Diceros bicornis minor: one gene and its partner. The protein of the gene in region 1 purifies or fractionates together with the protein of each later gene. This does not show direct contact. Links are inferred from orthologs where the notes say so. Each region holds a gene or a part of one and is shown in the gene's direction. Other genes may lie near its edges.

Evidence for each region.
Region 2: the proteins of PLA2G4A (region 1) and S100A10 purify together in Homo sapiens (affinity purification with western blotting; 3 studies listed by BioGRID). This does not show direct contact. The link is inferred for Diceros bicornis minor from reciprocal best matches to the Homo sapiens genes PLA2G4A and S100A10.

Annotation. Positions count from the first base shown.
Region 1 is NC_080743.1:80,990,561-80,998,336, reverse strand, and holds the start of PLA2G4A (cytosolic phospholipase A2), read left to right. Parts: upstream 1-4,637; 5' UTR 4,638-4,714; intron 4,715-7,776. UniProt on the Homo sapiens protein: Has primarily calcium-dependent phospholipase and lysophospholipase activities, with a major role in membrane lipid remodeling and biosynthesis of lipid mediators of the inflammatory response.
Region 2 is NC_080743.1:56,176,724-56,184,983, reverse strand, and holds the start of S100A10 (protein S100-A10), read left to right. Parts: upstream 1-5,231; 5' UTR 5,232-5,330; intron 5,331-8,260. UniProt on the Homo sapiens protein: Because S100A10 induces the dimerization of ANXA2/p36, it may function as a regulator of protein phosphorylation in that the ANXA2 monomer is the preferred target (in vitro) of tyrosine-specific kinase.

The DNA of each region.
Region 1 (7,776 bases):
TAAAAGATTTTATTTATTTATTTTTTCCCCCCAAAGCCCCAGTAGATAGTTGTATGTCATAGCTGCACATCCCTCTAGTTGCTGTATGTGGGACTCGGCCTCAGGATGGACGGAGAAGTGGTGCCTCGGTGTGCGCCCGGGATCCGAACCCGGGCCACCAGCATCGGAGCGCGCACACTTAACCACCAAGCCATGGGTCCAGCCCGTCAAGAATTTTTAAAACTCTATAAAGTGCCTGCAAGTCAGTTTCTGAGCTGCCGTAATTGGGCTCATGTCCATTCCAACAGAATTGCTGAAACCAGACATGCATTTGTTTTACCAAATTTAGAGAGATCTCAAAGAGCAGAAAACAACTTTTAACATATTGCCACGAGTAGGTAAAATGAATAAGAACAACTTGGCTTTGTCAAAAGTTCCTGAATATGGTTTGTCCGTAGTCAAAGTTTGCTACTGTCTGTTAAGCCATATTAATTGTTGACAGTATGATTCTTTCCATCTGTACAATATAAATTTGTAATTTGCTTAAAATCTAAAGGGATCCTGATTTAATTTCCACATCTGTTTTATCTGCAAAAGAAAAAGAAGTATTTTTAAGGTATAGTAGTATAAGTCAACAGGCAGTGGAGAAAACTGCATGGTATGAGTGTGGCAGTGGAACGGTGTGACTTGTATTGTAGGACAGTTTATCTGGGAATGAAGCTAAGGATGATTTTAACAGGGGAAAGGAGATGCAGAAGTGAAGCCCATATTATCGATAGTATGTGTAAGTAATAGTAATGCAAGGGTATAAATTAATATTTTGACAGTAAAATAAAAAGGAAAATATAGATATAAAAACTTTGAATATAGAAACCAGAAGATGAATAAAGGTGTTGGGATCAGGAGGAGGGGTAAGACAGTGACCACTGCTGGGGAGAAAGAGAATAGTGGAAGATTCCTAGCCTGAGTGCTTAGGGGGTTCCATCTTCTACCAGTGGGTCCACTACTACCAATGTACAACAGTCAGGGATTTGGCTGACTTGGAACAAAGCTGAAAAGATGGTCAAACAAAACTTGCTGTAAGAGATGGTATAGTATGTGGGAAAAATTGTGAACTTTGGAGTCAGACAGACTTGGATTGAAATCCAGGCTTCACTACTAATTTTGTGTGCTTACATAACATTAGGATTCTAAATAAAGATAATAATGCCTAATTTCGTGAATATAGTGGTTAATAATACTGCAAATGTGGTAATAATACAAAGTACATGGCCCATTATAGGCTCTATATAAGGAGTAACAATGACATTACTAGTGTTTTATTCATTATAGTCATTTTAATATATTTAAAAAAAAAAAGACATTGATGCGGGAAACGTTTAATAAAGTAGTAATAATCTGCCTAACATGTTCAATTAAAAAAAGAATAATTAAGAGAAAATTATTGCTCCCATTTTTCAGGTCAAAATAATGATGCAAAAATATGGGTACACTGAACGCACATTAAAAGTACAGGTGATTACTAACCGAAATATAGTTCTTGTTCATAAATACTCTCTCTTTAGATCTGTGCTTTCATCATTACATCTAATTTTTAAATGAATTGTAAACATATTTTAATTAGGGTTCATTTCACTCTTGTCTCTGATTAGCTTCATATTTCCAGGAATTTTATTAGTGTGTGTGTGGGCATAAAAAAAAGAAATTTTTTTTTCCTTAGTAATGATGGAAATGACAGTAGCAAGTAGCGTGCTATTTGGGTGTCGAGTTTAAGATATCTTTGAACCCAATATCATGGAGAACAATTCAACAAACATCCTTTGAGCTCCTTATGTGTTATGGACTTTGGGTGGGAAGAGGGTTTACTAAAATGAAGAAGGCTTGTCTCCTGCCGTCATGGAGCATATACTATTTTTTCATGTATAGCCAAGTATAATACAAATTGATCAGCGCTCTAATGAGTGTTCTCACTCAAACAGAAAGATGAATTATGCTGGAAAGGAGAGTGAGTAGAGAAATATTCCAGAAAAAGTGGTAACTGAGCTAAGCCTTGCAGGATCAGTAGGATTATTTAGCGGAATTTAAGGGAAAGGTGTGCAAGGAGAATAGTCTCGGTATTCGTTTGAATGAAAGATGAGGGTCAATTAGCCGAATGCCAAAAAATTTCACGGGTGAGAATTACTTCCATGTTCTTTGATTCAGGTGTCTTACTAACTTGATTTTGTTAATACGTAAAGAGAGGAATGACTCATATTAATTATATTCACAGACAAATAGTAAGAATATCAATGTATTATTCTATTATAAAAATAGTTGCATTATACACCAGAGTACTCAAGCATAGCAGCAAAGAGGGATATACTATTGTAGGAAAATTGGTTAATTGTGGCCATTGAAAATTTCCTCTGTTTCTATCTGCAATCTGGATTAGATTTCTCTATTCAACTCTCTCTTAGCATCTCACGCTGGCTAACTATTTTCATTGAATGTATGAATTGAACTATCAAATCATATCTCATTCCTCATGTCCAAGTTCATGGGAGACAAGTCACTTTCGTATAGTTAGAGTACAGGATGGGTGAAGAGGAAGAAGTAAAAAAGGGAATAGAAAGCAACAGCATATAAAGGAAGAATAACTAATCATGAAAACATCAGGTTTTCCTTTTCTGCTTTTTGAGCCATGGGTTTTGACACAGAGGTACTTCCTTGTTTGCTACTCCGGGCAGTTTTGAGTCTGTTCCTTTTGCTTACTTATCCAGTGCTAAAATTAGCTTATTATTCTCAGTCTAAATTTTTTAAGATGTTGGTAATTAATGGCAAACCGTATGAAACTCATTAACTGGCAATAAGGCAAAATGTGGGATTGGACTTAAAGAGGCTGCTACAATATTGCTCAGTTCAGATGGGTCCCACACGTATTTCTTCCCCTAACTGATCATCACTGATGCACCGGCCCAGAAAAGAGGGGTCTTCAGACCGAATTGATCTTACATACTAAGGCAGGCTATGAAGGCAGTCTCTCTTCTAACGTGAAGGCAGTGGTTCTTGGAACTAGTAGGCTAATGTTGGAAATATTTTTGGAGGAAATAGAACAAAGTGAAGACAGTAAATCCGAACTGGTACCATCTATCTAGGGGTCTACGTGAACAATGAGATCACAGATAAGGAGCCAAACTGAACTGAATGTGGACATTGAGGCCACAGAACCACAGGATGAGGCAATGGAAGGTGGTCTCCATCAATTCCAGAGAGGGAGAGACACCTGCAGCAGCTTTTAGTCACTGAAAGAATGGAGATAAGTCAGCCCGATTTAGTAAGGCTGGAAAGAGGCAAACATCTCCCCATATGTTTTAACCCTAGGGATAACATACACTAAAATTTTCTTTAAAAGCATTTAGCCAAAATTTTTTCATATCTTTAATATATACCACAGTGTCGGACATCCTCTCCAAATATTGAGAGCTACATCTTTCTATTATCAAACTGACCCGAGCACTGTGAAGCCGCCTTTTGAGGGAGCCTTTGTTCGTCAGAATCTCAGGATGAACATGCCCTGAAAAACGTATTCTTTCTTTCAGCAATTGCACCCGGGGGAAAGGTGAAAAATAGCGGCGTGCTCTCTGCTCCTCTCCTTAGTACACTCCACCTTTCAAGAAATTCAGGATCTTTGGAAAGAGAAAGATCTTGACCCCCATGAGACACTACAGGCCTTTTTTAGGAAGGAGAGATGTATAATATATGAGGTTGAATTTATGGGAGAAAATAAAAACAAAAAAGAGTTGAATCTTGGGCTGCAGAGAGCAGATAATCCAGAAGATTTAATGATGGAGTCTGCTGAAATTATATTCTTTGAAAATGTTATAAGAGAGCTAGGAGAGTGTGCTCAATATTTGATTAAAGGCAAAAATAGGTGATCTTGTGTTTAAAACAAGATATACTAAACAAATATGTCAATCTTTAACGACAATAATTGATTCTTGTTGAATCTGGATAAATTTAAACAGTATACCTTGTTTATTACAGTGTTATCAGGCATTTGAATTTACATTGCAAATTTATAATTCAACCTGATTTGAGTTTTTTCCCCATAAATCTCAACATATGTATTACATTCTTTGGTATGCCTTTAATCTTAAATTTACAAACAAATGGTTATCAACTCAGATGTTTTGAGTTTGGGGAAGAAATATTTGAACGGATTTCCTTTTTAAAGTCTTATATTGTTCATCTTCAAAATGTACACATTTTATATTTTGAGTTTGGTATAAATTTTGCCTTTCTAAGGAATGCCCTAGGTTATTCATCTTTTCAATTTAGTTCTTGCTTGTTTGGAAAGAAAGAGGAAGCAATTAACTACTTAAGGACAAGAAGTACTTCCAGACACACACACACACACACACACACACACACACACACACACACACACACACAGGCATCCACGTAATTTAGGCCCTGTTAACTTACATACTATTTAAGCATGTTTTCTGACTTCAAATCCTGGTCCTGATCAGTAAACATTTACATTTCAGCTTCTCCGAAAACAGTGCTTTCCTGCTCTTCTTCTTTAATTCCACCTTAAGACATCTGCCAAGACTAAAGGAAACCAGCCCACATTTTAGCCCCTCCTACCAAGGATAAGGCATTAACTTCTCTGTAGTGCCGGGCTGAAAAAGGATCCTGACAGAAAGCTAGAGGCGTAAAGGAGCCTGAAGAATCTCATGTAACTCTGGGAACTGTAAGCAATATATTTACTCTTCCCTCCCTCCACTTCTCTCTCCCACCCTCCTTAGCTTTTAGTTTGTATCATACTTGGAAGGAAGAAAGGACGGAGGGAAACCTAGTAGTTCATGGCTTTAAAACGTCTGCATGTCCTCTGTCCTTTGAAATGAGACACAGATCAGGGAACTTAATTTCCTTCTAACAAACGCCAGTTTGCTTTCCGAGGTCTCAATGCACTGTGGAGTCAACGATAAGGTGTTTCCTTCACTTACAGCCCCCGAACGAAAGCGAACATCCGAAACGGCGGCGAGGTGGCACGGACTAGTCCTCCGCGTGATGCCACCCAGCGGTTCCGATCCCCGTACTTGAGCAGCGTGCTGTGTGACACCCCTAACGATCTTTAGCGGCGGAATTTGTTCGCTCATTTAAGTTTTAATTAAAAAAAAAAAAGTCATTTCGGTTACTTATACAAAGCATTCCTGCGTCTTGAATATGTTGCAGCGTTACGCGAAAAGAAAGACAATGTTAAAAAATTAATTGTAAACCGACTGGTATTGTGATTTGCCCTTCCACTAAGTTGTTTGACATGCCAGGAGCACAGAGCTCAGAACTAGATACTGGAAAAGATTTGATCAAATAAGAAAGGTTAATTTTGAATGTGAATACTATTTTAGTAATTTTGTTTTAGAAGCGGTAAAAAGGGCATTTAAATTTGAAATAATAGTGGCTTAACATGTCTAAGTCTCGTACAACTTATAATCTTTTTAGAATTAAAAATAATGATTTTTCATCTCAAAAATTAGAACAAGAAATGCTCCTCACACTGGTTGATGATGTAAGCCTTGCTTCCGCCAAGGCAGATGGAGAGTACTAGAGGTCTACCATTGGATAGTGTCCATTCTAAGTTACCGTATTTGCATAGATCACCCTTTGGTTTCAAGGAGAATTCGGATTTTGTTTTGTTTCTATTTGTTCTGTAAATTTGGAATTGTAGCCCAAGAGATATTTGCTGGGTATAGTAGTGAAACAAACCCTCTTAAGAGTTTTTAAACTGTATTCCAGAGGTCCCTAGACCTTGCCAATCAAATTTGATGTTGGGGTAAGAAACAGGTTATTTTCTTCTTTCGTTGAGTAGAGGAAGAGTTAAATTTTAAATTAAGCAATAATTGTGAAATGCATAGAGAAGTGTTCACTCTGCATTTTCTCAAAGCGGCTTTACAAACTTCCTGTAGAGGAAGCACATTTTATAAGACCAAAAACTGCTTCTTTTTAACCAAGTCACTTTTGAAGTATTTTGCATTTATATTTAATTAGCAAAAGGAAAATTATTAAATATATTTCTTAGTATCTGATACAGTTCATTCCGTAGAGATAATGTGGCCTGTGTTTTTAACCTATCACTATCATTCCTAGTGTCACTGCTTAGAAAGCAAAGTCATAAAACCAAGTTATTTACATATTAAAAAGTATGTTCCAGGAATAAAAAAGAGGAAGACAGAATTAGTTGTGGTTCCTTTTCTCCTCCCATGCTTTTTATTTATCATCAGTTTTTTTTTCTCCTTTTGCTTTCAGATTTTATAGCTTTAGTTACTTTCAGCCATTTGTTTTTAATCTCAGACCCTTTTACAAATCTTATAAAAGCTGTAAACCCCTCCCCAGAATGATATGCTCCTCCAACAGGCACACATTTGGAAATACCTTCAGGAAGTTCACAAACACCCCAAATCATTCATGTCACACGAAGATGAAGTATGTCTATAACTTGGGAGTTTTCTGATAATATTAAATAATTAATTAGCAAATCATTTTACTTGTAAGTAAAGAACTGCCTAACAGTGGATATTGCAAGGCCCATACTGTCACTTATTCATTAGTGTTCTGGAACTCCAAGCAATTTTGTGTAATTGAAAGAACTACCTGCCTGGAAACCAAGTGACCTAGATTCTAGACTCAACCCCAATAATAATTAGCTGTACAATATTAAGCTTGCCGTTTTTCTATAACATCCGACATTTTTTATTGCTGGATACAATAAGTAGAACATAATAGGAAAATAAGAGGCAAGTTATTTTTGATTGGATTGTGGGCTGTCTATATTTTCTGTTTTTAACCCAAAATTTCTAACAATATTTCTAGCATAATTATGTTTTATAATATTCTTGCTTATTACGAAGATAATTTATGCTCACCGTTTAAATTTTGTTAAATATAGAAAATTGCAAAGAAGAAATGGAAAAAATTACCTATAATCTCCCCCAAGGAGTAACTACTTTAAAAATGTCATTCATTCATTTTTTTCAATCAACAAATATTTATTGAATATATAACATGCATCAGCACACAGACAAAAAGACAAGGAATTCACGTATGTACACCTCTTTATACTCCTAGACATTTTTCTATACGTTGACTCACTTGTAGATTTTACAAAATTGTGAGCACACTTGTTAAAAGATTAACTGAGACATTTTAAAAATTTTATTTATTTATTTATTTTTTGTGTGTGTGTGTGAGGAGATCAGCCCTGAGCTAACATCCGCCAGTCCTCCTCCTTTTTTGCTGAGGAAGACGGCCCTGGGCTAACATCGGTGCCTATCTTCCTCCACTTTATATGGGACGCCGCCACAGCATGGCTTACCAAGCAGTGCGTCGGTGCGCGCCCGGGATCCGAACCAGCGAACCCCGGGCTGCCGCAGCGGAGCACACGCACTTAACCGCTTGCGCCACCGGGCCGGCCCCTAAAAATTTTAAGAGTTTATCCGAGCAAAAAATCAATTTGAATGGGGCAGTACCAGACTGACGGGAGCTCAGGGAAAGACCTTCAGAGAGAAAAGGCAGAAGCAAAGTAAGGAAATGATTGATTGGCTATAGCTTAAAGTCTAGCTGGCTGTTTGTGATTGGTTGTGATTGGTTTCAATTTTGTAACCTTGAGGCATTTATGGGCCTAGATTTTGGTTTGCTTCTGTAGGCCGCCATGGCATTAGAGCCAGCTCAGTCGAGAGGCCTCCTTGTTTTATTAATTTCACACACTGTTCATGCTGTTTTATAACATGGTTTCCCTTGATCACGATATTTGCT
Region 2 (8,260 bases), about 25 Mb from region 1:
GTATTTTATTTGTCTTTCCCACTAGAGTGTAAGGCCCAAGAGAGCAGAAATTTGTCTGTCTTGGTCATTGACATCTCCCTCGTACCCAGAACATGTGGGATATTAGTAGGCGCTCACTAAGTATTTGATAGATTATAATCATTAGAATTTGCAGAAGAAAGCAGGTGGTTTCCAACCCCAAGCTACAGTTCTCTTGTGTTTTAAAAAAAAAAGGGGGGGGGGGCTACACTCCTTCAGCTTCTGCTGCTCCCAGAGATAAGAGCCTGGCAAGCGCAGCCGAGGTAGAGCTGTCCTGGCACCCTAGAGGGAAGTCTGCTCAAAGGCGTTTACCCACAAATCATACACTGGAGAGCTTGGGCCATGCCATAGGCCCACTTGGCCTCCTTAAAGCTTCTGCTCCGCAGAGTAAGGGATCACAAAGAGGCTGGATCTGCTATCCAGAACCCACTGCCTGCTGGGGCTCAGTCATATGCCTTCATGGTCATATCCAGAACCTGCTGCCTGCTGGGGCCCAGCCAGATGCCTTCATGGTTATTAGTCAGTTCATTCTATGCCATTGCCCCAGAAGACAGGTGTCTAACCTGATTTTACCCATAAGGAGACTCAGGTTCTCAGTGGTGAGAGCCCAGAGCCACATAGCTGGTAAGTGGGAGAGTCATCCCTCTCCCTTTCCATTTTTTTTTTGTGTGTGTGAGGAAGATCAGCCCTGAACTGACATCCATGCCAATCCTCCTCTTTCAGCTGAGGAAGACTGGCCCTGGGCTAACATCTATGCCTATCTTCCTCCACTTTATATGGGATGCCGCCACAGCATGGCCTGACAAATGGTACCTCGGTGTGCGCCCGGGATCCAAACCCGGGCCGCCAGCAGCAGAGCCTGCACACTTAACCGGTACGCCATGGTATCCCTCTCCCTTTAACGTTCTCCAGTGGCTCCTTGTTACCTTCAGAAAGGAGCTCCAAACTCCTTAGCAGATTATCTCAGGTGTCCCAGGAAAGGCACCTCATCTCCAGACTCATCCCCGTCCAAAGCCCTAAGGGACTGCATACAACCCCATGCAGAACTCGGGTCAATTCCTAGAAGAGATGCACTACCTCACAATTCCATGATCTCACACGTGCTTTTCCCTCCTGTCTGCCCCCAAAGAACATGGCCAATTCCTACCTGTCCTTTAAGATACACATAAACAGACAAACAAAAGCCCCTGAGAGGATTCTACCCTAAGAAATAAACATGTGGGCAAAGATGTTTATTCAAAAGTAGTCCTTTTATACATAATTATTATTTATGACAGTAAAAAACTGGTAACAACCTAAATGTTCAAAAAATATAGGGAACATTTAATAAATTATATTTCCCTATTTAGGATGTACTAGTATATCCACCCTTGAGGGTTTGTTGTTTTGTTTTGTTTTTTGGATTGCCAGCAAAAAGAATTGACCAAGCAACTGTAAATCAGTGGTCCTCAACAGAAGTGCCATGGGGTACTGCTGTGACTCTTACTAGGGCTTGGTAATTGACAGATAAAGTTTCCTTTTGCTACAACTGTTATTCACGCCATGTCTGGGCAGACAGAATGTTGAGCTAGGCTGCACACAGTTTCTGTGTGGTGCAGGGCACGACTTGATACACACAAAGAAACTTGCTTGCCAGGACCTGTGAGAACTTTGCCCCATGAGTATCTAAGAGAGAGTGATCAGAGCAGTAAATCCTACTCAAACACTGACACGTTGCTGAAGTGTGATCAGTATAATTGACCTTTATTGACCTACCAGTACATACTATACATGCAACTTAATCCTTTTGAATGTGCTGCCAGAAATACTAGCATCAAAAGAATGCCACTCTATTCGTTAGAGTTATGCCGTAACAAATAAACCCCCAAATCCTGGGGTTCTTCCTCACTCACATAACTAGTCCAATGAGGGCATTCCTGGTCAGCTGGTGGTTTTCCTCCACTTGGTGATTCAGGGACCCAAGCTCCTTCCAATTGTGGCTCTTCCACTCCTAGAGCCTCAGAGTCCAGCAGATGGAGAGAAAGAATGTGGAACAGTCACCTCTTAACCACCTTGGCCTGCAAGTGACACATCACTTCCAGTTCCATTCTGTTGGTGACTAGTCAGAGTCTTACCTAGGTGCAAGAGTTGCCAGGATCACAATCCCTGGCTGAGCAGCCACTTCCCAGCAACACTTCTACACTATGACGGGAAGAACACACATTTCTGGTGGACAATCCGCCCTCTTTGCTACAGCCACAAACCCAAAAAAGTTGAGAACCATTGGGTAACGATTTTGTTTCCACATGGAGAAGTGGGAAAATACCCAATAGTGCCTCATTAGTAAAACAATGCCTCCTGCTCCTGGCCTTTTGTACACTGAGTGTATCACAGGCCTGGTGGAGAACTTGAACATTGCCTCATCTTCAGTCCAGGGACCATACTGGCTTGGGCCTCTGTGCCCATTCCTTTGATGGCCATTCAGTCTGCTCCTCTCCACACATCTCTCCTTCACCCTCTGCCACCCCAACCTCCTTCTTGGTCAGCTCTGACTCAGATGCTGGTCCCTGGTCCCATCAGTTGTCACTAGGGAAACAGAGCTGGCTCCACCATGTGCATGTGGTTTACAACGCATACCACTTTCTGGAGAAAGAACTGCCTGGGACCACTTCTCCTAGAGAGAGAGTATTGGCATGGCAGGTACTTAGAGCTTTCTTGACCTATCGGTACACAGAGTTATAAAACGCCACAAGAGGGCAGGGATAATGTCCATCATGCTGACCATTGTCACCACTATATCCACAGCACTTAGCACAGTGTTTCAGAAACCCAGGTCTCTTCCATCTTGTGGAGCTGCAGCCAGTAGGGCCTGGGAGCCCTAGAGTCTGGCTGGCAGGCTGGAGAAGAGAGTAGAGAAGCCACAGTGTAGTTGAATAGTTACCTGTTGAATGAAAAAAATAATAATAATGAATAAATGAATGAACACTCATGCTCTTGATAAATATTTCACAGAAAATAGTCAAGATAAAGCATTACAGGATGAAAATAGAATACTGTACGTAATTTTATAATCAGTGTGATCACAACTTAGGAATCTCACATCAAAAGTAAAAAGAATGAATTTACTTATTTTTAACAATTTTCAGCACTTCCTAGCCCTTTCACTAAATAACTACCATCCAACCCACCAATTAATTTAATAGCAGTTGTCACAATGACTATTGTTTGCCAATTCTGGCTGATGCCTGACAACTCCAAGGAAAAATGGATACACTCCGTTGGGGTAGAGAAGGCTTCTGAGTTTTTTCTTCCTATTGGATTGCATCTGGAACTTTTCCTTTGCTGCCCACTTTTTTAGTGGGCAAATTTTATGTTTGCTGAAAGGTGGGAGAGACAACCTGGATCCAGGTCTGTTGCCTCAACTCATTTTCTCTGAATTCTCTTTAGGGATCAAATTCAAGAATGCCCTTTTGGTTCAATTTTCAAAAAATATTAATAATTTTCCCCCAAGTCCCCAAGTTATGTAAATATATATTATATATGCATGAAAAGACTTAGAAGGAAAGACATAAAAGTGTTCATCTTTGGTTCACGGGTTTATAAATAATTGTATTTTCTTTTTTATACATTGCCATATTTTCCAAACCTTCTACAATAAGAATGTAAGCTTTTTTACAATCAGATTTAAAAGGCAAGAGTGTCATTGTTATTTTTAAAGCATCTATCAAATGTTGCCTCCTCCAGGAATAGTTCTGTGACCACTCCAAGGGGACTTGCAGGCCCCTCCTCAACGTTCTTATAATGTCTGATAGTGTCCTCTACCATTCACTGAGCATGCTGGGTTTTAATTGTTTACTTATCTTTCTCCCAACAAGACTTGAAGCTCTTTGAGGGAAGAGACTGATTCTTTAACCTCTGAATCCCCAGGGCCTAGCACACACTAAGCATTCCTAAAGGTTTGTGAATCAAATGAAATCAAATAAACAGGAGTATATAAACTCAGGCGTTGTCACTCTAAATCCAGTTGCATCTTCCCTGGGAATAAAGGGATCCAGGATTTTCTCCACTCTTGACTGTAACCTGGGGCCTGGGAAGAACTTGGGAAGCATATGGGAAGAGTTTGAAGAACTGCCCCCAGAACAGTCAGCACCAAGGTCGCAGGAACTCAGTGGGAGTGAGAGCTGAAATCCAAGTTGGGTTTTCCTGGCAAGAGCCAAGAGTAGTCACATGGTGACACTTGGAGGATTCCCCGAGTCTGCTCATTCCTTCGGGATCACTCACTCCTCTGAGGACCTCCCCTGGGAACAAAGGAAAACCCAGGACTTGGGACTGGGCCCATTTCCACCAACAGCTGCTAGTACTTTGCATTTAACCCTAAACCACAATTAAAATAAATGTCAAGAGGGAAAGGGGAATACCATCCGCTAGGAAACACTTAGGTATTCTCTAAATTTCTTCCAGAAATTTCTTCTAAAGGACCAAACAGGCGAAGTACAGGACAGAAAGAAGCAGGGTTTGAATCTTCCGTTTTAACAGTATCAACCACAACTGAAGCTGAACTATCGACCAAGTGAAGCCATACACAAGAGTGGTAAATCCCTGGTCAACAGAGGGTTTGTAACGCCCTCGAGCTGACAAGCCGAACTGCACCCTCTCTGCCCCAACCCCGCGGGACAGGCGGGGGCAGGGACCTCGGCTTATTCCAGATGCCCGCGGACCCGCGGGCGCAGGCCGCGAAACCCCTCCGTACCGACCTCCTAGGGCCTAATCTGAGCACAACCCAGCCTGACGCCCGCGCGGTCGTTAGCACTCCACGTGCCCCCTCCCTGCAGTGTCATCTAGAAAACAGAAATTCCAAGACCTGTAGGTTACCGAAGAGCCGCTTACATCTGGTTCCGGGCCAGCGAGCCCCACCCGCAGAACGTCTGGATTCTTTGATTTCCACACTCACTCACTTTCTAAAACCAAACCCGAGAGGAAGGGCACGGCCGAGGGTGCGGAGGGATGTCCTGAACTGTACGAGAGCATTCCAGTAGGCAGAGAAGTTTACAACACGTCCTGTAAAGCTCTCACTGGGGGCGGGGGGAGGCCAGGAGCGAGGCTCCTCTCTGCACAGCCTCACAGAGAGCAGGGTGTGCGCGCTGCGCCCATGTGGGGGGTGGGGGCAGGAAGAGGAGGGAGGAGAAGGGGTGGGGTGAGCCGAGGCCCCGACACCGGCCCAGGCTCCTCCCGCCTCCCCCCACCCCCACGTACTAAAGCGCCCTGCCCGCCGCGCTCTCTTCACTGGCCGCGCGTCCCAGCCGCCGAGTGTCTGCGTTGCGTCTCCGGCCAAGGTGAGTTCTGCTCGCCGACCCCGGGCTGTCTCCAGCCCCGGACCCGGTGCTCGGCGGGAACATCGGCTGCTCTGGCCCACCGGGCCGGGCCTCGCGGGGTGGTCGGGCGCCGGCGGTTCTGGGCGGGGGGCGGCTGAGGGGTATCCGCTGCTCCGCCCTCTGGGCTACATCCAGGCGAGGCGAGCAGCGCCCCTGTCCGGCCCGGCGCGACCCCTCCCTAGATCCTCGCGGACGGGAGGACGGGACACTTGTCCTTTCCTGCAGGACCTGGGCGATGGTGCCCCGCGATCTGCTTTCTTCTCCCTGTTTAATTTTCTTTACTCCCACTTTCCTACTTTTGGATTAGTCTCCCGAGTTATCCGAACCCCCATGTCTCTCCCGCGTCCTCGCCGGCATGTTGCTTTGTGGGCTCTGGCTGCAGGCTGACCTCCGCCCAGATGTTCCCAGCCTCCTAGCTGGACGGCCCGAGCAGGCATGGGGAGGGCTGGGCGGGTTGGCAGCTGGCGGATTCCCTTCCTAAGGGACACTCCTCAGTCCCTCGCCCACAGGCTTCAGGTTGGGCTTCCTGTTGTTTGTCTGCTAGAAAGGAAGGTTCTTACTGCCCAGGGAGGAAGATATATTTGTTTTCTTTATAAAGCAGTTTTGCTAGGGGGCAGTGGGGGAGAGGGCACTATGCGAAGTGATTTCCCTATTGAAAGGGTTCCCTTCTTGCTATCTTAATCAAACTAGTGGAACTATAAAGAGATAGGGGAAGAGGAGGCTTGGTGAAGGATCTTCCAAACTAGATTAATCTGGCCCAGTGCAATGAGGCAGAGAGAGACGTGCTGTTGGTACCTGGTCACAACTTGAGTTGGCTAAAGGAATGGCGCTCCCCAGCCCCAGCTGGTCTCCACCTAACTGAAACCGGGATGCTGCCATGCTGGGTGGGGGTGGTGAGGAAAGCGGAGCAGCTACGGACCAGCTACAAAGAGCCCTAGGCCAGACTCTGGAATACATTAAGCACACCCCCCTTCCCTCCCTTGGGGAGCTGGAAGCATTCTGCAGGGCGTGGTTAGCACAAAAAGGGCTCCCAGATTCTCCTAGTGGAGGCCTGTGACTCAGCTGTGAGACCATGTGGGTGTGGCCCTGATGGCTCCAGATTCTCTCTGCAGATGGTTCAGACAGAATGCTCCCTAAAGGAAAAGGGGAACTGTGCCATCTTAGAGGGCATTTTCCAGGAGGAAGTGAGTCACACCAGAGCTGGCCGGCAATCTGAAGGAGAGGTTTCTTGACTGAACTGTGGGTGAGGGCAGCAGTTAGACTGGCAGGGCCTTGGTGAGACCGCTGCTGGGTTATCAGCCAGTCTGCCTGCTGGCGGATTGCCTCAGCTTTACTTGGGAGGTTGCTTTTCCGTTAAGAGGTTTGCACTGCTGCAGATTTTTTTCCCCTGCAGCTTGTGTTTCAACCAAGCGGATTTTTATATCCTGCACTTCAGGTGAGGCCAGGCTCATGGAAACACCCTGTCAGTGATCTTTGCCTCCAACGTGTTTCAGCAAATTGCAAAAGATAGTGCCAGGGATTGGGGCAGGAATGAGTTCATATAACTCATTTGAAATTTCTTCATCAGCCCTGCCCCCACAGGTTCTTATCCAGTGTCTACTTAATCATCTCTTCTCAATAGTATATGCCTTCCTTGATAGCCAGAAGCTACTTTCTTCATCGTGGTCCTTGATCTACCATATGGAGTTTCTTATTTCAGTTCTTGATATTTTCTTGAGGGTCTGCTGGGCATAAAGCATTTTGATTTCTAGGTGATGCTCTTCCCTGGCTTTTCCTGCATACAATCAGATGGGCCTTTTCCTCCCATATCTGGACTCAGGCCAGCCCCACAAGCAGCTACCCAGTGATGTTAAGTCTTGGGCTGAGTAGAGCTGAGACTGGGTGCCTCCCTGCTTTCCACTGACAGTTCCAAAAATGTGACTTTTTTAGAGCACTACCCACTTGGTATGGCCTTGGACACAGTCCAGTCTATTAAAGTTGAGGGAACAATGGAATTCTTTCAGGGTTATAATGTATAAATTAGCACTCAGAGTGCTGGGAGAGCTGGACTGAAGTTTTAGGATCTTTCTTAAGCTTCTCATTTTCCTGGGACTCAACAATTTAGGAATCTCACATCAAAAGTAAAAAGAATGAATTTACTTATTTTTAACAATTTTCAGCACTTCCTAGCCCTTTCACGAAATAACTACCACCTGACCCACCCAATGGCTTTAATAGCAGTTCTCACAGTGGCTATTGTTTGCCAATTCCGGCTGATGCCTGACAACTCCAAGGAAAAATGGATATACTCCGTTGGGGTAGAGAAGTCTTTTGAGTTTTTTCTTCCTATTGGATTGCATCTGAAACTTTTCCTTTGCTGCCCACGTTTTTAGTGGGCAAATTTTATGTTTGCTGAAAGGTAGGAGAGACAACCTGGATCCAGATCCGTTGCCTCAACTCATTTTCTCTGAATTGTCTTTAGGGATCAAATTCACGAATGCCTTCTGGGTTCAGTTTTCCCGTCCAAAAAATGTTTTCTTCATCTTAAAATCGCTAAAGCAAAAGGAAGGAAACCTCAAACACATTTTAAATAACAGATGTTTGTTTTTACTGACACCCTGCCAATTATTTTCTGGGTGGGCTGTAAGAAAACTAGGGTATGGACAAGACACAGAAGAGCAAAGTAAATCAGACCTCTTGCTCTTTAGAAGTGTCCTTTTTGAAATTACGGCCCGGATCTGGGCGTGGGTCCAGAGCAAACATTTGGGACTGCTCAGGAGCAGACACTTTTCTAAGGAGGCCTCCTGCTTCCCTGCTACTCCCAGGAGGATCAAAATTTACATTATTGTCAATTTCATTCTTACCAATTCATTGAGCAGGCGCTATAAGGGCAGTGGCTAGCTACTGGGACC